4 linked regions of the Schizosaccharomyces pombe genome follow. Changing the gene in region 1 together with any one later gene gives a genetic interaction. Each region holds a gene or a part of one and is shown on either strand. Other genes may lie near its edges. The genes, in order: gyp1, rqt2, cdr2 and SPOM_SPBC17A3.06.

Region 1 (5,048 bases):
CATTTCTTTCTTATCGCTTAATTTGCGCTCCTAAGCCAGACGTAGAGGTAATAGGCAAAGTCTCCCTTATATAGTAAATATAGTTTGAAAAACAGTCACTGCAAATGCTGTTGTGGTAAGCAGTTGCAAAATCAGCATGAAAAAGCTATGAGTATTGAAATTTAAAAGATAAGAAATTGATCCTATAGTTATAAATAAATGATTTCTTCTTCATGAAAAGTAATACAATGATTCTATAACGCAATGGAACGTGCTTCTTTATTTCAGTTCAAAAACTGTATTAAGTTGTATAAATATTCAAAAATTGTCACAGCGTTTTCATTATCTACTCTAATTCATCCATACATTTTGGTCGAATCAAGGAAGAAGACACAGACCATGTAGTACAGTCTTGTCGATTTTCATCATCTCTTACCAATACAAAAGTCGTACTTTGAAATCGTAATGTACAATCTTGGATAAAACCAAAGAAAACATGACTAGCATAGAAGAGAAAAAAAAATGATATTAATAACGATTCATGTAAAGTATCACGCCATGGACTAAACAATCGTTGAATAGTAAAGTAGTAACGTAAGTCAAACTGGAAAAGGGTTAGAGAACGGTCGAACGTAAGAGTAAAGACAAATTACATATAAGTAATAGTGAATATACAATTTAATTCAAGGGTTAATAACTTCCCAAAAATGATTAAGGTAGTTCAGACTTTCTTCAAGAGAAATACTTTATCCTGCATGATAAATTCTAAAAGTCGCAAACTCAATCCAGCTGAGTTAAGGAGCAAACTTGAAAAGTTATTTAGGTGAATGAAAGGAAAATTTATTAGAAGAAGTAAGACTTAGACTCATAAGCTCATAAACATAGAAAAGCAACACAATGAATTAACGAAGGAGATTTGTCAACCTAATTATAAAAATGCATAGGAAGGATGGCATTTGAAAAAGGCTGCTATGCCAAAATAAGCAAGGGATTAAGGAAGAAGACGAATGCTCTGAAAAGGGAAAACGAAATGGCTACTATGCCTTACCTTTTCAAATGTGCACCAGCTCCACTGTACAATGATTTCCATAGGAAAGCTTCAGATAGTAAAATTTCGATATCCTTTGTGCTCCAATCTTTTGTCGGAATAGACTGCAGAAAAATTAATATATCCTGAAATTCCATCTTTTGTAATTCACTCGACCATTTCACTAAAAATGCAGCACATACGTAGAGGTGAAACTCAGAAAATCCTTGGACACCTTCCGCCATGTATGTATCCCACATCCGAATGATATTCGAAATACTAAGCTCGCGCATTAAAAGACAGTTCATCCAGCGAAAACTAAACTGAAGGAAATCAACACCCTCCATTTGAAGATGTTTTACTAATGGCTCATCTATACGTAAAGTAAGCTCTCGCAGATTATTCACCTGTCGACGGATTCCAGGCTGTGCATGTATATAGTTATCTTGGATACCATCTAACAATTTAGAAAGACACCAGTAAGCATCAGCCTCAATATCATTACGATTAGTTTCATCAAGAAGAGCAATGTCATATGTCATTGGGTCCTTATCGCCGATATATTCGGACAAAAACACCTGAATAAAAGGAGTAACTAAATCGCTGATGCCTTGTACATATCCGCTGGCTGGGTGCCGTGAGGCCCAAACATATAAAATACGCTCAAGCATACGCTGCGTCAATGGGTTTTGGTAAAGAAGAATAGAGGGGTTCGTCCTCGGAACGTCAAGGACAATTTGTCGCCAAATAGTTTGATCCAAAGGTGGTGGCTCTGTATTTGTATTAAAGCAGGAATCTTTTGCTGCGTTATATTCGTCTCTCTTTCGCTTTAAAGTGACTTCACGACGAGAAGCATTACAAGGTAAATATCCTAACAAGTATTTCCAGACAATAGGTCTATGTTCGGAGGGAATTCCATTCCAAGCCAATGTACGAAGCGCATTTAAATCCACAATTGGAGCATCAAGAATTCGCGAAAACTTCTTGATCCGAGAGACAAGCGCATTGCTTTCAGCAACCTCAACTTCTACAGAACGATGGGCTAGTTTAGCGGGTAAAGGAAAACGACCAGACGAATGAAGCTTTTGTCTAGAAGTGGTAGTATCCACGCCATTTTGAGGAAATAAGGAGCGGCTTGAAGAATTTGGAGTAGTACTTCGAGCCATACGAGGAAGAGATTTTGAGGCTTTAATATTCGAAACTCCCCAATCGTCATCTGTCTGTGACAAATATTTGGCAAACTTTGCAGACACTTTTTTGCCTACAACAGCTTCCAAGGAAAGAGAAGATCTCGCAGAAGGTGCATAGATTTTAGACTCACTAGCAGATTCGGGTCTAGTTATGGACCGGGCCAAAGAGATATGATCTTTTGGGGGTTGATCTGAGTAAACAGAGTCGTCCAATCTGAACGGTTGAGCTTTGGAAGAAGTGCTTCGACCACGATGGTGATGGGTCCGGCTTCGATCCAAAACAGTAACTGGATCCGAAGTGGCGCTAGAGGATCCATTCCATAAGCTGGAGAGAGTTTTTAAGGCGGACGACTTTTTTGACTGAGATTCCATAGTGGAAAATCTTAAAATACGAGAAGAAAAATTGTTTTTACAAAATGAAGCAGTAATTTGATAGCCTTGATGGACACAACAAATTTAGCAAATAACAGATACTCTTTGAATTTATCGCCAAAATAAAATACTTTTGGTTAAGATGCAAAAAACAGTTTCAAAATTTGCTGTAAAAAGTAGATGAAACGTTTTAGAAGGCAATAACTTCAAATGTTTAACGACGAAGGATCTTAGGCACCACTCATAGACTTACCGGACTTGAAGTCTTATTCTTTTCTTATCAAATGAAAACTATTTTCAAAAAAAAAAAACTTAAGCTATTAGAAGCAAAGCCGTGTCTGTGGGTTCCATCCAAACGAAAACGCACCAGCTCGAGATCTTGTGATCTATTAGAACAGCGCGGAATTTGAACACGAACAAATGTTTCGAGAAAACCTTAGATACAATCCAATACACTAGTATATTTACAAATTTTAACCGAATATCAACGAAATTGTGAAGATTTACTCGGTCTGTGCAGTTGCCAAGGCAGTTGCCCTTATTTGGTGGAAGAACAAAACAATAGGGAGGAAAACAGTAGGTGTATGGAGTTTCTTATATATGAGGTTTTTTTAATAAAAGGAGCAAGGTTTAATACTTTAATTATTTATCTCACTTTTTAGTTAAAGGAAATTCGTTTTAAGCCATGAACAGTTGATAGAAGGATTTTGGCCGTGCATGGTCTTATTGCTTGGGAATGTTGGGTTTATATGCGCAGAGTAGTAAAAGATACACAGCTAGGTCTCATTTAACAATGTTTATATCTATGAGTTCTATCTCTTCTTTACTTAAGTTGCTGCCAGTAAAAGTGAACAATGTAATTTTGACAATTGTGACTAGTCGCTTTTCAAAACAAAAAAGAGAAAAGTATAAACGTTGATTAAGAAACGTAAAAAAGTATTTCCTGTCAATAATGAATCTCTGATTTTATTGTTATTTTTCGTATTGACATCCTAGTTACCTAATATAATACGATGAATTATAAGCATTTTAATACCTACTAAGTTTAAATTTTCCTGAAATACAGTCTAAGATTTTCCTGTTCCTATATATTTCTAACAAAACACATTTTTCAAGTAGATGATCAACGAATCTAGTCTAACTTTCAATCCCAGTCTTTTTTTTAGCAGTTTCGGGTATTTGTTTTCAAACATGTATTTATATCTTTGATTCAGTAAAATTACTTCAACAAATGCATTGAAGAGGAATGATTTAAAAAACATATACGGTTTTCAATGTTTTAATGAACAGAGCAATTTTCCAAATGTTGTCTTGTCAAGAAATTGTAATGTATGTTCTCCAAAACTGACATGAGAACAAAATAAATATGTACTAAGATAAATTTTATATTGAGAACAATCAAAAATTATAGTAAGTTTAATAATCATCCAAAAAACACTTTCCTTCTCTCGTTTACATCTTGGAAAACACTCTAGAGTATCGTTATTCATTGTGATGAAATCGAAACTACAACTCCAATCCAATAATAAAGGTTACTGTATGACAATAAAATAAACCATACATCTTCCCTTTAAGTCGTATTACGACTTGTAAGAAGATTTCCTGGTTGCCAAAATATCATTCATAGTACACAATAATATTATGTGCAAAGGTATTGAAATGAATAAGTACGAATCAAGGTAAATGATTATTATTCCCAAATGAGCTCAAACAAAAAGCAAAAAGAATAAAAGGAAGCCTACAGCACCCCGGATTCCCATGTTGTCTCCAACCATAGTACTAACGAGGCCCTCAGACGCTTAACTGCAGTGATCGGACGGGAACTGGTGTTTTCGCCTAGGTATGGCCGTAGACGTTTAAAGTAGAATATTTAAACATTTTAAAGAAAAAATTAATAATCAGTCAGAGTACTGTCGATTCACTAGAAATTTTCTATTTATTGTTTATATATTCATACAGTAAGATCGTGAAGTATTCAAATCCTTGGTATATAGAATATTATCTTCATGCATTCAAAGATCGTTTAGGAGCTATTTGTACAAGCTACTTGGTGCATATTTGTCTGTTTATATTGCAAAGTCAAGAATTTTAACATAGAGAAAGAATAAAATGAAATGGAATAAAGAAATGTTAAATAATGTTATGAATCAGACTTGTTCTTGAATTGCTAGTCATAACAACTTCTATAAGACTCAACACGTTTACGCGCTTTTTATGAATGTAATACGTTAGACAAATTAAATAGACAAGTACAGTCTATGTGTCATTGACTCAACACTTAAGCATTTATATGATCTACAAAGATGAAGTCTATAACATGATCTATCACGTATTATGAATGCTTAGCCATGGCTGCTTTAAGAAGATCATCTTTTAATCCATAAAACAACATTGTTTTGGCACGAAGCGAATGATCCGTTTTGCTTCGCTTTGCTGGAATAAAAATGAAGCTGTCAGAACGAATCCTATACATCGTTAAA
Region 2 (7,911 bases), 3.0 Mb from region 1:
TGATGCAAAGGACACCGCTCTTCAACCATGTATTTTGTATCGAGATAAATAATTGAATATGAAATTCTACCTATATGCTTAATAAAATCAAAAATTGCCTCGCATAAACAAAAAAAAACTCGGTGATTAAATACACCGAATCACTTGGTTAGCCGCAAGGCAATATGAAGTGGATTGTAATGTGTTTGTTTACTAATCCATTACACCAATTTTCTTGCACACATTCACATGCAGCACAATAAGGAAAATCATTTTGTAGAGGATGCAAAGCAATTCCAAGAAAAAGCAAAACTCTATCAAGGAAACTACTATACACTGGATGGAGAATTAATCACCATAATACCTAGCTCGAAGGAGGGCTTTCGATCATGCAAATCGCTTTATTATAAGAAGAAGCAACCTATACCGGGAAGGTAATAAAATATAGATGCAGCTGCATCTGCAGCATATTGATGGCGTGCTTGCACATACTCCTCAACCCTTCAAACTTTTACTTCAATAAACGAAGGGTACCAAACCACTACCTTTCTTGAACTATTTTATCAAAGAAATGCATAATAGCATTAACGAATAATGAAAATTACTACCAAACCATTTTGCTTGCCAACAACAATTGAGTTTGTGTAACTTGATATATACTAGAAGATAAATCTAAACTATAGAAAAATCTGTAACGAAAAAAGCCCGATAGTTTTCTCGCTCCAACAAACTCAATAATTTTACAATCTTTAAAAAAATCTCCTTTACAAGTTTATAAAGTGAACCATTCATGCTATGAGCATCAACGAAGAGTGTGTATGCTCATTGAAACATGCTAGACTTTTTCAACAAGTAATCTACTCTATAACATAAAAGCAATCCGGAATGCAAACAACGTGTCATGAAAAGATCAGATTAAAGATAATGATAGAAGAACAATTTCATGGACTCTAGGAACAGGCGCAGAAAAATTAACAAGGTTTTGATATTCAATCGATAATTGCAGCAAACAAAATGCAAGAATACCAACTTGAAAAAATATGATATAATTTGGGCATTGGGAAGAAAGGAAAACCAAACAAATGAATTTATAAAATAATTAAGCTATTATACAGCAAGAATTTTGCTTTTTAGCAGATTTATAAAACATTCGAGACTGTGTAGATAAGTTATCACTACGTTGGATCAAGTCGTCCAACTTCTCTCCTCTAGCTAAGACACTCTCGATTGTTTTATGAAGTACATCTTTAGTTTCATCCAATTCTTGTTGCACTCGCATAATCGTATCAGCCTGCTTGGGGTCTTGATATTTTGATAGATAGGTATCCAATTCTGGAAAGGATAGGGTAACAGCACCAGATTCCCATTTGGTGCGAGGATTTTTTGTCAAAAATTCGTCTAGAATCTTATTTAGAAGAGTATAAGCAACACGTAAAGGGTATTCCTTGTCACTAGCAATCACACCGCACAACCCATCCGATCGGTTGTACACATGAAAAACGTAATTGGACTGTTCAACGTCTTGTCTTTGCCCTGGATTAGTACGTTCTGCAACAGTCTTTGTAAAAAAATTCATGAACTCTCCGATGCTGAAATATTTGTTAACAAACTACTCTTCAATTAAATCTTGCACATACGATGATCGTTGAAAAAATGAGAAACTAGATAAGTCTGAGGCAGTGCATAATAATTGCACTGGTTTTGGGTCAAAGCGGAGTATAGAGACAGAATACAGCTTCATTCTGTAAATATGCTGTAAATCAAGTTAATGGTGTGGGTTAAGTTTGTTTCTGCTTTGGTTGAAAACGCCATACTTCTTGCAATCGTATGTACACACATAATACCTTCGACTACGGTATTTTTCTATTACACAAATAATAGGTAGTGGCCATTTGTTTACAAACCATCCCCTACACTACTAGCAGTGCTAAATTGGGTAGTATATTGGATACAATCCTATAAAAGCAATAAAAATTCAAATTTTTTCTGTTTAAGGAGGTTTTAATTTCAACGATCTATCCTTTTACAGTTTTCATGGAAGTTGAGTTAAATTATGTAGTGAATCACTTAGAAAAGCTAGGTCCTGCTAGTTTTTGTGATACTCCATATAGCTTTTCGCTGAGTGATTCGAATGCTGAGCTAGGTGCTTTATCGTTAAAAGTTGACGAAATTTTGAAAACAAATTATAATTTAATCAATCCCGAGGACGTTACTGACTCCGACAATAATGAATTTGCTCTTAAAGATTTAACTTGGCTGCAAAATTGCTGCAATGAAATTTCTCAATCTTCAAGTACTGAACTTGATGCTTCAGTACTATTTGAAGCAGTCATTATGAGCCTAAAAGCGACTGAAGATCAATGTGCCATTCAAGAAGATTTACTGAATCTTGTTGGACTTGATCATATTGACTTGATTTCAGATATCGTCGCTAATTCGTCCAATTTAATAGAAGAATACATGAATCAAAATGATACTTCAATTGCTGCGCAACTTTCTGATGGCTATACCTCTGAAGCTGGTTCTTCTGCTACGCATGGTCAGGGATTATTAGACAGTTTAAAAAGTAGGCCGAGAAGATTTAGTCGGTCTCGTGATAACAGAGGTCCTTTATTTACTGGACAGCAAGTTTTTGAAGTGGAAAAATATCCTCATGTGTATGGGGATAAAAGGCTTGGTAATACTATTAGCGTCATTGGGAAAAAGTTTGCATTACCGGCTGGTAGTGAAAGAGAAGATTACCAGAAATATGAAGAGATTATTGTTCCTCATGCTCAGCGTGCTCCACAAATGCAAGGGGAAAAGTTGTTAGAAATTTCTTCGATGGATATTCTTTGTCGAAAAACATTCCTTAGCTACCAAACTTTGAACAGAATCCAATCGCTTGTCTATCCTATCGCCTACAAGACAAACGAGAATATGTTAATTTGTGCACCTACAGGTGCAGGAAAAACTGATGTTGCTCTGCTCGCAATGTTGCAAACAATCTCCAACTATGTAGAAAGTATGAATCTTATGGATGAATCGGAACCTCTAGATGTTCATAGAGATGATTTTAAGATTGTCTACATTGCTCCTATGAAGGCATTGGCTGCTGAGGTTGTAGAGAAAATGGGAAAACGTCTCGCTTGGTTGGGATTGAAAACTAGAGAACTTACTGGTGATATGCAACTAACCAAAACGGAAATAGCAGAAACTCAGATACTTGTTACAACACCTGAAAAATGGGACGTAGTTACTAGAAAAAGCGTCGGCGACACTCAGTTAGCCGAGAAAGTACGTTTGGTTATCATTGATGAAGTACATATGCTTCATGATGAACGTGGTGCTGTTATTGAATCACTTGTCGCTAGGACACAAAGGCTGGTAGAAACAAGTCAACAGATGATTAGAATTGTTGGTCTTTCTGCCACACTTCCAAACTACCTTGATGTAGCTGATTTTTTAGGCGTCAATAGGTACAAGGGATTGTTTTATTTTTCATCTGCATTTCGTCCATGCCCTATTGAACAGCATTTCATCGGTGCTAAAGGTTCTCCTAAAATAGTAAACTCAAATATTGATGAAGCTTGTTTTGATAAAGTTTTGAAACTGATTCAGGAAGGCCATCAGGTAATGATATTTGTACATTCTAGGAAGGAAACCATTAATTCAGCTAAGAAGTTGAGGGAACAATTTTTCCATGAGGGAGAGGCTGATTTGTTGGACAACTCACAACATGAAAAATATAGTCTAGCTCAAAGAGATGTTTCAAAGTCAAAAAACAAAGAGTTAAAAGAACTTTTCAAATACAGTATGGGGATTCACAACGCTGGCATGTTACGATCGGACCGACATCTTACTGAACGTTTGTTTTCTATGGGTATTCTTAAAATTTTATGCTGTACTGCTACCCTAGCATGGGGTGTTAATTTACCGGCTTATGCTGTATTAATTAAAGGAACTCAGCTTTATGATCCACAAAAGGGTTCTTTTGTAGATCTTGGCGTGTTGGACGTTTTACAAATATTCGGTCGTGCTGGTCGTCCTCAGTTTGAAAGTTCGGCAGTCGCGTACATAATTACGACACATGATAAACTTTCTCATTACATCTCCGTTGTAACACAACAAAGCCCTATTGAATCTCGTTTCACCGATAGATTGGTTGACAACTTAAACGCTGAAGTTTCTTTAGGAACGGTAACTAATATTGACGAAGCTGTATCGTGGTTAGGTTATACTTATCTTTATATCAGGATGAGACGTAATCCACTTGTATACGGTATTGCTTATGACGAACTTGTTGAGGATCCTTTACTAGGCAGCAAGCGAAGAGAATTGGTATCTGTAGCGGCAGGAAGGCTGGCAGATAATCAAATGATCGTTTACAATAAGAAAAACGGATACCTGATTCCTAAAGATTTAGGTAGAATCGCGTCCAATTACTATATCAATTATCAAACTGTCTCAACATTAAATAATTTATTGAAAAGCAAAATGTCGGAAGCAGACATTATAGCTCTTTTGAGCCAATGCAGCGAGTTTTCCCAAATCAAATCGAGAGAAAATGAGCATCGTGAGCTTGAATCACTAATGGAAAACAGTAGTCCTTGTCAGTTGAGGGATAGTATTTCGAATACATCAGGAAAAGTTAACGTTATTCTGCAGTCATACATTTCTCGTGCGCATGTAGAAGATTTTACCCTAACATCAGATACAAATTATGTTGCACAAAACGCGGGTCGAATAACTAGGGCTCTTTTCGAAATTGCAATGTCAAGGACTTGGGCCTCGGCATTTACTATCCTTAGCTTAAACAAGTCAATTGATAGGAGGCAGTGGTCTTTTGAACACCCCTTACTTCAGTTTGATCTTCCACATGACCTTGCAGTCAAAGTGGAAAATCAGTGTGGGTCTTTATCATTAGAAGAATTGTCGGACATGTCTACAGGAGAACTTGGTGATCTTATTCATAACCGAAAAATGGGCCCTACAGTTAAAAAATTTATTTCCAAATTACCTCTTTTAAACATTAATGTTGATTTGCTACCTTTAACGAAAAACGTTTTGCGACTTGTATTAAATATCACTCCCAATTTTAATTGGGACATGAGATATCATGGAAACAGTCAAATGTTTTGGATATTTGTTGAAGATAGTAACGGTCTTGAGATTCTTCATCATGAACAGTTGCTCCTAAATAAACGGAACGTTAGCACTTCTCATTTACTATCCTTTACCATACCTGTGTCTAATCCATTACCCTCACAACTATACATTATTGCAGTATCAGATAAATGGCTAGGCGCTGAAACAGTTACCCCGGTTTCTCTTTCTAATGTTGTTTTTCATGACGATTCCAATCCCATTACAGAATTATTGGATCTTCAACCTTTACCAATTACGGCTTTGCACGATCCAGTGCTAGAAGGTATATGCGCTAAAAGATTCTCGTTTTTTAATGCAGTCCAAACTCAATTTTTTCACACTATTTATCACACCGATACAAATATTTTCGTTGGTGCACCTACTGGATCTGGTAAAACTATGGCCGCAGAATTAGCTACTTGGAGAGCTCTTCACAATTATCCTAAGTCGAAAGTAGTTTATATTGCTCCAATGAAAGCTTTAGTCAAGGAAAGAGTAAAGGACTGGGGACACAGGTTAGTTGAACCAATGGGGATTAGTATGATTGAATTAACTGGTGATACTAACCCGGATGTTAAGGCTGTTACGAATGCAAATATCATAATTACAACACCGGAAAAATGGGATGGTATTACTAGAAGTTGGAAATCTAGGAAGTATGTTCAGGATGTCTCATTAATTATCCTTGACGAAATCCATTTATTAGGTAGCGATCGAGGTCCTGTCCTTGAAATGATTGTCTCCCGAATGAATTATGTTGCTTCTCAAACTAATAAGAAAGTTAGAGTTCTTGGTTTATCTACTGCTGTTGCTAACGCTAACGATCTTGCAAATTGGCTTAACATAAGAGATGGTCTATTTAATTTTAGGCATTCCGTGCGCCCAGTTCCTTTAGAAATATATATCGATGGATTCCCTGGTAGAGCCTATTGCCCAAGGATGATGTCGATGAATAAGCCTGCTTTTCAAGCCATCAAAACGCACTCTCCTACCCAACCTGTTTTAATTTTTGTTTCGTCGCGCCGTCAAACTAGATTAACTGCAAAAGATTTGATAGCTTTTTGTGGTTTAGAAGACAATCCTAGGAGATTTTTGTACATGGATGAAGAAGAATTAGAAATGATTGTTTCAGAAGTTGAAGATAAAAGCCTCAAGTTGGCTTTACCATTTGGTATAGCACTTCACCATGCTGGTTTGACTGAAAATGATAGAAAAATTTCCGAAGAGCTTTTTGTAAATAATAAAGTTCAGATTCTCATCGCCACCAGCACTCTTGCATGGGGTGTAAATACGCCGGCACATTTGGTAATTGTGAAAGGAACAGAGTATTACGATGCTAAAATTGGAGGCTATAAAGACATGGATTTGACGGATGTGCTTCAAATGTTAGGGCGTGCAGGACGACCACAATTTGACAATTCTGGTGTGGCACGTATATTTGTACAGGATATTAAGAAGTCGTTTTATAAGCACTTTCTACATAGTGGATTTCCAGTAGAGTCTTATTTACATAAAGTATTGGATAACCATTTAAATGCCGAGATTGCTACGGGCACTATAGATTGCATACAGGGTGCAATGGATTTTTTAACGTGCACTTACTTCTATCGAAGAGTTCATCAAAATCCCGTTTATTACGGTGCTGATGGAGATGACCAAAAGAGTATAGATACTTATTTATCGAAACTTGTTGTGACTGCATTTAATGAACTTGAAAAGTCAGCTTGCATATATCGTGTCAACGAAGAAACCTATGCACCTACAACTTTGGGTCGTATAGTTAGTTACTATTATCTTTTTCATACCACCATCAGAAACTTCGTTCAAAAAATAACTGAGAACGCTGAGTTCGATCTTGCGTTGCAATTGCTTGCTGAAGCATCTGAGTTTGACGATCTCGCTATTCGTCACAACGAAGATTTGATAAACATAGAGATTAATAAATCTCTGAAATATTCGGCTGCTTGCCTAAACCTTCCTATGGTCGATGCTCATGTTAAGGCATTTATATTAACTCAAGCTCACATGGCAAGATTGAAACTTCCAGTGGATGATTATGTTACTGATACTAGCACGGTTTTAGATCAGGTTATTCGTATTATACAGTCTTATATTGATGTGTCCGCTGAGCTAGGCTACTCCCATGTCTGTTTACAGTACATATCTCTAATGCAGTGTCTTAAACAGGCTTGCTATCCGAGTGAGATTTACAGAGCTTCATTACCTGGACTTAATGCGTCTAGTGAAAAGGAAGCAAGAGATTATCTCAACAAATTTGCAGGAAATAAAACTGATGAGTTATATCAAATGCTATGTAATGACCCTAACGTTTTTGATATAGAAAGTCTGGTCAATAGTTTAATTTCGTATCCTAAAATGAACATTGAAGTTTCTCAATCGTCTTCAGATAAGCTACTCCTTTATCTACGACGCCTCAATCAGCCGCTCAACCCCGATTTTTACATTTTTGCGCCGTTGTTCCCTAAACCTCAAAGTGAGGGATTTTTCGTTCTCATCATAGATTCAGAAACTCAAGAACTGTTCGCGATACGTCGGGCCTCATTTGCTGGGCGAAGAAACGATGATTCAATTCGTTTATCCCTTCGGATTTCAATGGATATTCCACCAACTTGCCGCAACAGAAATGTAAAAGTCATGGTTGTTTGTGATGGATACCCATTAATTTACGAACATAAAATTGTATTGATGATTTAATGAAGCTTTTGTAGAAAAATAGAAGGCTTTAAGCCAATTTCCTTATTATATTTAAGTCTGTTTAATAAAAATTAATTAACAAATCTATAG
Region 3 (5,463 bases), on another chromosome or scaffold:
AAATATTAAATTGTAGACTCATATTTCAACATGCTTATTTGCACGATGCAAACAGTGCGAAAAAAACTTACAATAACACCATCATAGTATCCTTCTTTTGCTAAAGTATAGAAATTTTGACATGTCTATAAGTTAGCGATTCTACTTTCAAAGCAAACAACACTGTTCGTCCTTTATTCTTGATGCGTACTTTAGGAGCATGTTCTGTATACAATTCAATAAGAATTTTTCCCTAAAAAATGTTAAATGCTTGAGCTTGGAAAAGATCTTACCAAACTTGTTTGTAACTCTACATTAGCCATGGTATTTACTAGTTTTTACACGATTTTCTTGCAGTTTTTCGCTGCTTGTTCAAGTAATAAGTTGAAGTTGCAACCTCGCTAAAAATACTGAAAAGGCAATTGCACAGACAATTTTAAAAGTGCTTAATAATATGTCACGTACTTCATTCCAAAAAAACAGACTCTTTGTACAATGCAGATAACCTAGATATCCTACAACTTCAAATGTATTTCTTCAACTATCGAAGTAAGCAGGTTACATATTGAATTCCACTCAAATTTAATATCATACTAATTAGCATTGAGCGACCAAATACTTAATTGGAATAAATTTAATTTATACAGAACAAGCAGAAGGGTCATAAATTTCTAAACATAATACGACCTATGCTGCAGTTCATTGAAATTGTATCCGCTAGTGCTAGTTGATTGTGATAAATAAGATGAAGAAAAAGTCAAATCGATTGAAATAAACGAGACTAAAAAGATTGTGATTTAGAACGAAGAGTTAGAAAGCCAAAAGAAAAGATTGATTAAGATAAAAAATTTTATACCTAAATTAAATAAGAAAAATGTATTTCAAAAAAGATGCCAGCAATAGCCGGTCATACTAAATACAAAAATTACCTTGCTTCAGACATGCAAGTTATTATCATTGGAGTAAGTTCCAAGTACAACATCACATGTACAAAACTCAACAGGTTCCAAGAGAAACATTGTAGCAGAGCAGCAAAATATAATTTAATCATTAAATGCATTTATTGCTTCCCGGATAACCGTGGTTCCATATAGCAAGTTGAACAAGTAAAAGAAAAACATCAGAAAAAGAATGGAGGTCTATAAAGATATTGTTGGTGTATAAAAAGAGTTCCAATATGGGACAAAATGAAAGCTTAATTCAAAAAGTTCCAATACTTCCACGAGTATACATTATGTTCAATTATCAAACGATTAGCTTTTTTGATAATCCTTTTTTTTCCAAAGCATCACGAGAAAAATGAAGTTTGCAAAGGTTTTGGAGAATCAAAAAAAAATGATAATAATAATAATAAAAGAATTTAACTTTGGACGGATTGTCGTTGACGAAATACAGCAAAAGGACTACTACTTACACTCATTCGAGAAACAGGTCTGGATGCCGAAGCTTGAAAATAAGAGAGTTCCAAATTATCCAAAAACCCCTTATCTTCAAAAATCAGCTGGAATTCTGTAGCCAAATGGTCAAAAGTTGTAGAAGAACCGCTTTCCAACACAAAGACAGCTTGTGAACCAAAAAACTCAGCCAGTACCGATATTCTAAACCGAACCGGTTTAAGATTAAGTGAATTTTGTCGTTTAATACGAGCAGATATCGAAGCACTCACAGAATCATATATAATATCAGCAATGCCGATACCAAGAAGCTGCCATCTTCTAAGAACTTCTAAAATTTCATGTTCCAATTCTGAAGCAACCAAGCTGGCATAGACGCATTTACAAGAAGGCTCACTACTAAATAATCTCCTTAAAAATGATCGTTTTGGTTGAAAAGGTGAGCCGGAAAGCTTTTTCTTTGTAGAAGAAGGAGAGAATAACGATTGTCTTCTTCTATGTTTGGGAACATTCAACGAATCATAAGAGGCTGGTGATTGAGAGAGATCAGCACGCATTGATCTCTCCCCACTAGGGGTACGAAGACGACGAGAGTTGTTCATGGTTGCATTTGCGTATGGTTGATTATAGTTATTATTATCAATATTATTAGAGAATTGTTCATTTCCTACGTTGAAGCGAGTAACTCTTGGATTAAAAGCACTGCCGCGCGGGAAGCTTACGACTCGATTACCAGTGTGTTCGGACATTCTAGAAGTGACACGCTTTCTTGGAGGTCCCATACCTGTCGGGAAATTGGAAGCTGCTAAATTACCAACAATACTAGGGTCATTCTCATTCATACGAAAATCATTTGACATATCCAGTGAAGTAGCGCGACGACTTAGTTGAACTTCCGGATCGTTTATAGAAACGTTAAAGTTGCGAGGAGATAATGCAGAAGGAGGTCGGTAATTTGATGACAGCATTGAACTATCGTGGGGATATGCAAGTCCTGGGGTAACTGATTTTGGGAGTTGAGGAACAGCAGAAGATGTAGTGGCTGGTCGTTGAAGTATGGATTGGGGGTTGGTAGCATTAAAAGAGTAATTAAAAGTGCCAGAAGTGGTAACAGGTGTAAGAAATGGCGATGCAGAAGTAGCAGGTCGAGGAACAGACTCTGCAGCATAAGAAATTGGATAAGGCGCTAAAGTAGGAATATTGATAGCTTGTTCAATTTCTTCCTCGTCCATTTGCTGCCCGTTGGATGCTGCTGTACCAAGGAGATCATCGACCACAGCGCGGTTGCGATCAACTGCAGCGCTGGAAGGCGGATGCAAGTGTCTGCTCAGTAGAGTATATAGAGTTTTTTCAACCAAGGGTGATTGAGATGCCAATTTTTCATACAAGGGCATAGGATCATCGGAACATCTGAAAACTAAAGAGAGATGCTGCACTATTAATGGATCAATGGGTTGTATAGGGGCTGATATGATTGGAATAGAAATATTGGGATGAACAAAGCAACTAAGAAACGGGTGTTCACGAATTTGTTCCATGGTAATTCGAGTAGATGAATCAACATCAAGCATGCGGTACAACAGATGTTGGGCTTGAGGAGAGATATTTGATGGCATTTCAAATTGACCCTGACAGACTTTTAGCAACAAAGAACGAATGTTGTCATCATCAAACGGTAATTTCCCTGTTAACAAAGCAAAAAATATAATTCCACATGACCAAATATCGCTAGCACAACCATCATATGAACGCCCCATAATAATTTCTGGGGATGCGTAATGGGGAGACCCGCAGGAAGTCTGCAAAAGCTTTCCTGGCTGTTGAATAGACGCCATACCGAATTCACCGATTTTGATAGAACCATGGGCATCCAAGTATAAGTTCTCTGGCTTTAAATCCCGGTGGCAGATATGAAGTTTATGACAATACTCCAATCCACACAAAATCTGCCATAGAAACTTTGCCGTATCTTGCTCAGTAAAACTTCCTTTACGAAGCATGCAGTCAAAAAGCTCACCACCTGGCATATATTCGACTACGACAAAGAGTTGCTCCTGGGCTGAAATCACATCTATGAGCTGCAAAACATTAGGATGCTCGATCAATCGAAGCAAAACTAATTCACCCTCTATCCTAGCCTGTTGGCTCGAAGTAAGCTCGGACCATCCTACAATCGGTTTTACTACGGCTAATTGCCCAGTTTCACGATGTTTGGCTAAACGTGATGAATTTGGTCCTCCTGATCCTAAGGAAAGACCAAGCTCCCAAGGTCCAACTTCTGAAATTGTACTCATACACTTCAACTATTCAAAAGAACCAGTAAATCGGTGAAGTGGTGATGGCCAAATCCAAACCCCATTCATAGAACAGCATATGTGGGATGTTCTCCGTAATGCTCCCTAAACTTGTAAGCTATAGTATTTGAGTGCATTTAATTACAACAAAATATATATGTGAAATTGATTTTAACATTTGTAAAATTTTTAGTATATAATTTGTTGTTTTGTCTTAATCCTTCCTACTTGCAACTGTACTTTAGGGAAATATCAGTTAATTTTCGTGATGTTCAAGAAGATACGTATAATTATTAGTTTTTACAAAAATCGCTTACAATTAGTGTATTCAACATTGTTTTAAAGACCGTAATCAAAATTGGCTCTACTAGTAGTACGGTGTAGCAATTACTGCTTTTGTAAATGATCAAGATATTTTAGTTCAATGTTTCACAGTTTAATCGTTGAAAAAATATTACTTAGACAACTCTGTTAAAAAATGATTGAAAGGACTCTTAGAGCCTTCAAATAGGATTGGAGCTCAGTAGTAGATTTCAAATGGCTACATTCACCTGCCTAAAATATATAACTATCTTAATGAGCACATACATAATCTCTAAATAGTTTGACTATTTGACAAGTTTATGGCCATAAGAAATCAACAAAATTATCTTTTTTGAATACCTTGCTCTACTGATATCAATTTACAAGATGCATAAGTAAATATAGTTGCCAATCGTTAATTCATTCATACCATATATACATCGTTTTGCTATTAGAATGTTAAAAAAAGATTCATAGAAACGACAACAATATTTGATTTTTAATCAAAACATTGACAAGTCTAGATATGAAAAGAAGGTAGTAATATAAACCTAATCAAGTTTCCCATATCATGATTATCTTCCACACAATTTGAATAGATAAATCAATAGAAAGAAAACATTATCGGTATTTATTGACATCCGCTGTTAAAATGGCATCAGTATTATGAAATTATTCATTAAATATTATAGTTTTTGAAAGAAGCGGCGAAGACAGCGCAGATTGGGCTTGATAATTAAAAGTAACTGCGACGCTTAGCACTGTGTTCCGTTAAACATGAGTAGTCTTCTTCTAAATGCCTTTTTTGAGAACAAGGTTGAGGGAGGGACGCGACATATGCAGACGCTGTACCCAGATCACAACTCACAGATACGGCAAGTGGTAAGACGCTTGCAAAAGGCATATTAAATGTAACTGGACCAGTAGCATTGTTCAATTTTTGAGCATTATAGCAGTAAGCAACACCTCCATTGGACTTAGAAGTCATTGGCCGATATACTCCAACCTTTGGTGAAGAAGGAGTTGGTGGTAGACTAACTGGCTTAGAAAGGCTTGACAACCGACCCGGTAATACTTGAGGATTTACATAAACTTGCGGTTCCATAAGCGGTATTTGTTCGGGTGGCGAAGCAGTAGTCAAAGTGCGGGACTGATTTGAAGCCTGAATATGTGCTTTACAGACATTCATAGGAGCCAGTTGTTTGGCAATGGGTAAAACAGATGGAGTGGATGGAGGGGTACTGCCAACAGATACTGGAGTAGAAGGTGCCATCGTAAGAATAGGTGATGAGTCTTGAGTTGTTTGAGGAGAAGAGGAGGGCTTCCTCGTAGCCTGATTCTTCAAAGCAGCATTAGCATTCATTCTGCGATGTGCTATCTTCGTTAAACAGGCAATGGAAAAAAGATCATCTAGAGAAGATTGAACATTAGAAAACAAAGAGACCCAATATTGTGCGACGCTGCCAAATGAGGCAACATTAGGATCGGTGGAA
Region 4 (3,375 bases), 630 kb from region 1:
TCGAATTGTACTTACCACTTCCACCACCAATTACCAGGTAATCAAAGACCTTTGAAATAGGTGCCATTCTAGTTTTAATACTTCGTGTATATAGGTAATGAAGAAGTTGAATACTGTTATAAACCAACGGAAGGTAAGGGTAAGACGTCTTTACCATGAATTCGTTATGATAATATTAGGAAATTTTATGGCAATATTAGTCATCTTCAAAAGTAAGCAATACCTCCATAAAGTGATAATTAGATTAGAAGAATTCCTTAGACTTTGCCATTGAACAGATGGAAATACTTTTCTCAGGCCAATGATAGTATAGAGTTTTTATTAAAAAATAAGTATTCAGAACTGGTTAGTACTTTAATTACAAGATCTCATCGACAACTCTGGAAAAGCAACCAATGTTTTAAGATAAACCATTTTTTTGTAATAAACATAGATGATTTGAAAACCTAGAGCGATCTTCCTAATATACATTAACTTTGAAGCAAGTGGATGATTCACACACGCAGAAAAAAAAATCAACCGAGTTTCCTAACAGCGTCTACACGCGACTGTAAAATACTTAAAGCTGGACAAACCCATTGAAGACAACTGCATTGTAAACCTTGCCATTTATAAGAACCAATTTTAGAATTGCATTTTGGACAATCAAATCGACCTTCCAAATTTCCCAACTCCAATTCTGGCTGCATCCAGCGAATAGGTTCCAAAAAGTAATGAGTACATCTTGTATGAGAATAATTATTTTCATCTTTCGGTTCATGCGATACCAGATAATCAGAGCTGGCAAGGACAAACCGACATTTTTTACAGCGAAGCTCTAATTGTCCTGCACGGGCACGGACAGTCTCAGCGTAAGCGACTTCAGATGGTACCCTAGTATTCAACACCGCGAAATCACCATATCTTCTGAACAGCCATTGGCGGTATGGGCGCAAACTTCGATCAAGTTGGTAATTACACTCAAAGTATACGCGAAGTTGACGAAGAAAATTAGCATTAGGAGATATTCCAGAGCGCCTTTCATTAATATGGGAGAGTGCTTCCTCAGTATTCCAATTGTTTTCCTTCATCAAGTATGCAGCCACTAAGGTTACGGACCTTGATATGCCCGCAAAGCAGTGAACCAAAACTTTGGCATTTTTAGATAGTGCAAAAGCGATGAATTTATTTGACTTTTCGAAGTATTGCAGAATATTTTGAGAACTAGAGTCTTCAATTTGCAACCAAAGGTGTTGTTGTTCAGGAACCGACAAATTGGGATTAATACTCATAGCGCTTAATGTATAATCGATCCCTTTGTCTGAAGTAGACACTAGCTCTGACGCCGTTTTCCAACTACTAATATACAAATTTTTTGATATTTCCGACAAGTCATTGAGGCTGTCAGGATAATGCACCTCGTCTATAGCTTTCTGTACATCGTTGCTAGACTGTAAAAACCCTTCTGCTTCTTGAACGGATGAGTGAATTTCATCAAACTGAGGTTGCCATGCACTTTTGTTGCTCATTCTATTATTAAGTTTCTGATTTACCACTTTGAAACCGAAAGAAACATAAAAACATGAAAAACACTTAACTTTTCCAATTACTCTAATTATTTCGCTTGGCAAACAACCAAAACCAAAAAATGCTCTTTTTGAATTATTTTAAATATATCAATTAGTTTTCCCTTTTATTCCTGTTTTTGGTGTTTGGATTGATTCAAAAGTGCATGTTACTTAAGCCACTTGACCTTCGATATGTTACTTGGTTTAAAGGGTTTCTGGTAGCATCGATCCATCCAAGTACAAAGTTGGCAGAGATTGAAGGCACTTGAAACTTTGGTTCTCTCATCAAACTTGGACTTAATTTCCTTCTTTCATATCACCAAAATGGAATCTAGTAGAGAAGAAGCCCTTAGGTACGAATAATGAGGATTGCGTGAGATTTTATTACTAACACATGTTACGTGTAGATGCATTGGACTTGCAAGAAAGTATTTAAATGCCGGAGAATATGATAAGGCTTTAAAATTTGCTAATAAATCTTTGCGAATTCATGCTACCACTGAGGGCGAAGATTTTGTGAAACAAATAGAAAAGCAAAAGCTTACAGGTTCTCCAAATCCTCAGGCAACTCCTAAGCAAGAAAACAAGAGTAACTTTTTTTCTGAAAAACAGTCGGTGCGGGAAAATGGGAATAGCTCTGCTGGTGAAAAGAAACAGAAGTGGACAAGCGAACAACATTTGTTGGTCCAGAAAATCATAAAGTACAAAAATCACCAGTACTATGAAATATTGGATTTAAAGAAAACCTGCACTGATACAGAAATCAAAAAGTCTTATAAAAAATTAGCATTACAGCTCCATCCAGACAAAAATCACGCACCTAGTGCTGACGAAGCATTTAAAAGTACGTCTTCATTTTTTAGCTAATAATTTTTAAGGTTTTTTTTTGTATCCTAACTTTTTTATAGTGGTTTCAAAAGCCTTTCAGGTTTTATCAGACCCTAATCTACGAGCACACTACGACCGTACAGGAATGGATCCTGAATCTCGCGCCTCTGCTGCGAGCAGCTCTTTTAGTAGTAACGCAGGAGGCCATCCTGGATTTTCTGCTTATCCTCAAGCGAATATGTCTCCCGAAGATTTGTTCAATTCTTTCTTTGGTGACCAGTTCTTTTCAGGTCCAGGAACATTTTTCTTCGGTGGTGGACCTGGCATTCGAGTTCATCAGTTTGGCGGCCGTCCAAGGAATTTTGCACGTCGTCAGCAGGCCCAGGACATGCCCCCAAAGAGCATATTTTATCAGTTGCTACCTTTGATAGTGGTAATCCTTTTTGCCTTTTTGTCCAACTTTAGTTGGTCAGATAGTACGTCGGTTAATACGCGCTATTCATTTCAACAAAACTATAAATACACTGTTCCTCGTACTACTGCCAAGCATAACATTCCATACTATATGAGCCAAAAGGATTTGGATAAGCTAAGTTCAAGAGATATAAGAAGACTCAACGAAAAAGTCGAGCATACGTATACTCAAAACGTCCATAATGCTTGTTTGCGCGAGCAACAAATTAAAGAAGACGAAATTCGAAGAGCTCAAGGATGGTTCTTTCCTGATAAAGAGGCACTGAAGAAGGCTAAAGAATTGCGTTTACCTAATTGCGAAGAATTAAACCGCCTTGGCTATCGAACTTATTCAAACAGTTATTATTTTTAAGCAATAGTCTTTGAGACATACTTCCTTGTCCTTTGTTTTGTTTCATTTTCTTTAATTCACATCTATACCTATTCTCGTGTTGTTTACTTTCATAAAAATTTTAATTGGGTTTTTGGAACAAAACTAATATTCTTTACGCGTATCTTAAAGCCTGCCTCTTCGGTTTTTAGGTAA

What was found.
Region 2: mutations in gyp1 (region 1) and rqt2 together harm fitness more than expected from each alone (negative genetic interaction), as found in Schizosaccharomyces pombe (one large-scale study listed by BioGRID).
Region 3: mutations in gyp1 (region 1) and cdr2 together harm fitness more than expected from each alone (negative genetic interaction), as found in Schizosaccharomyces pombe (one large-scale study listed by BioGRID).
Region 4: mutations in gyp1 (region 1) and SPOM_SPBC17A3.06 together harm fitness more than expected from each alone (negative genetic interaction), as found in Schizosaccharomyces pombe (one large-scale study listed by BioGRID).

Annotation. Positions count from the first base shown.
Region 1 is NC_003423.3:782,633-787,680, reverse strand, and holds gyp1 (GTPase-activating protein Gyp1), read right to left. Parts: upstream 3,116-5,048; 5' UTR 2,569-3,115; coding exon 1,024-2,568; 3' UTR 536-1,023; downstream 1-535. Other genes in the region: SPOM_SPBC530.02 (transporter), read right to left, coding at 1-3. UniProt on the Schizosaccharomyces pombe protein: Stimulates specifically the GTPase activity of ypt1. Functions on the Golgi as a negative regulator of ypt1.
Region 2 is NC_003423.3:3,743,978-3,751,888, reverse strand, and holds the start of rqt2 (ATP-dependent RNA helicase), read left to right. Parts: upstream 1-1,879; 5' UTR 1,880-2,013; coding exon 2,014-7,821; 3' UTR 7,822-7,911. Other genes in the region: protein smp2, read left to right, coding at 229-417; SNARE protein Ykt6, read right to left, coding at 1,079-1,568, 1,617-1,720.
Region 3 is NC_003424.3:1,363,050-1,368,512, reverse strand, and holds cdr2 (serine/threonine protein kinase Cdr2), read right to left. Parts: upstream 3,718-5,463; 5' UTR 3,668-3,717; coding exon 1,340-3,667; 3' UTR 545-1,339; downstream 1-544. Other genes in the region: cyclophilin family peptidyl-prolyl cis-trans isomerase Cyp1, read right to left, coding at 72-125, 191-232, 273-302; cyclin Pas1, read right to left, coding at 4,707-5,463. UniProt on the Schizosaccharomyces pombe protein: Acts as a mitotic inducer. In G2 it negatively regulates wee1, a mitotic inhibitor. Also has a role in cytokinesis where it required for proper septum formation.
Region 4 is NC_003423.3:1,411,188-1,414,562, reverse strand, and holds SPOM_SPBC17A3.06 (phosphoprotein phosphatase), read right to left. Parts: upstream 1,699-3,375; 5' UTR 1,509-1,698; coding exon 516-1,508; downstream 1-515. Other genes in the region: mitochondrial glutathione reductase Pgr1, read right to left, coding at 16-67; SPOM_SPBC17A3.05C (J domain-containing protein), read left to right, coding at 1,872-1,900, 1,955-2,391, 2,456-3,201. UniProt on the Schizosaccharomyces pombe protein: May be directly involved in signal transduction and/or cell cycle regulation. It is necessary for maintaining growth rate or spore germination. Could show both activity toward tyrosine-protein phosphate as well as with serine-protein phosphate.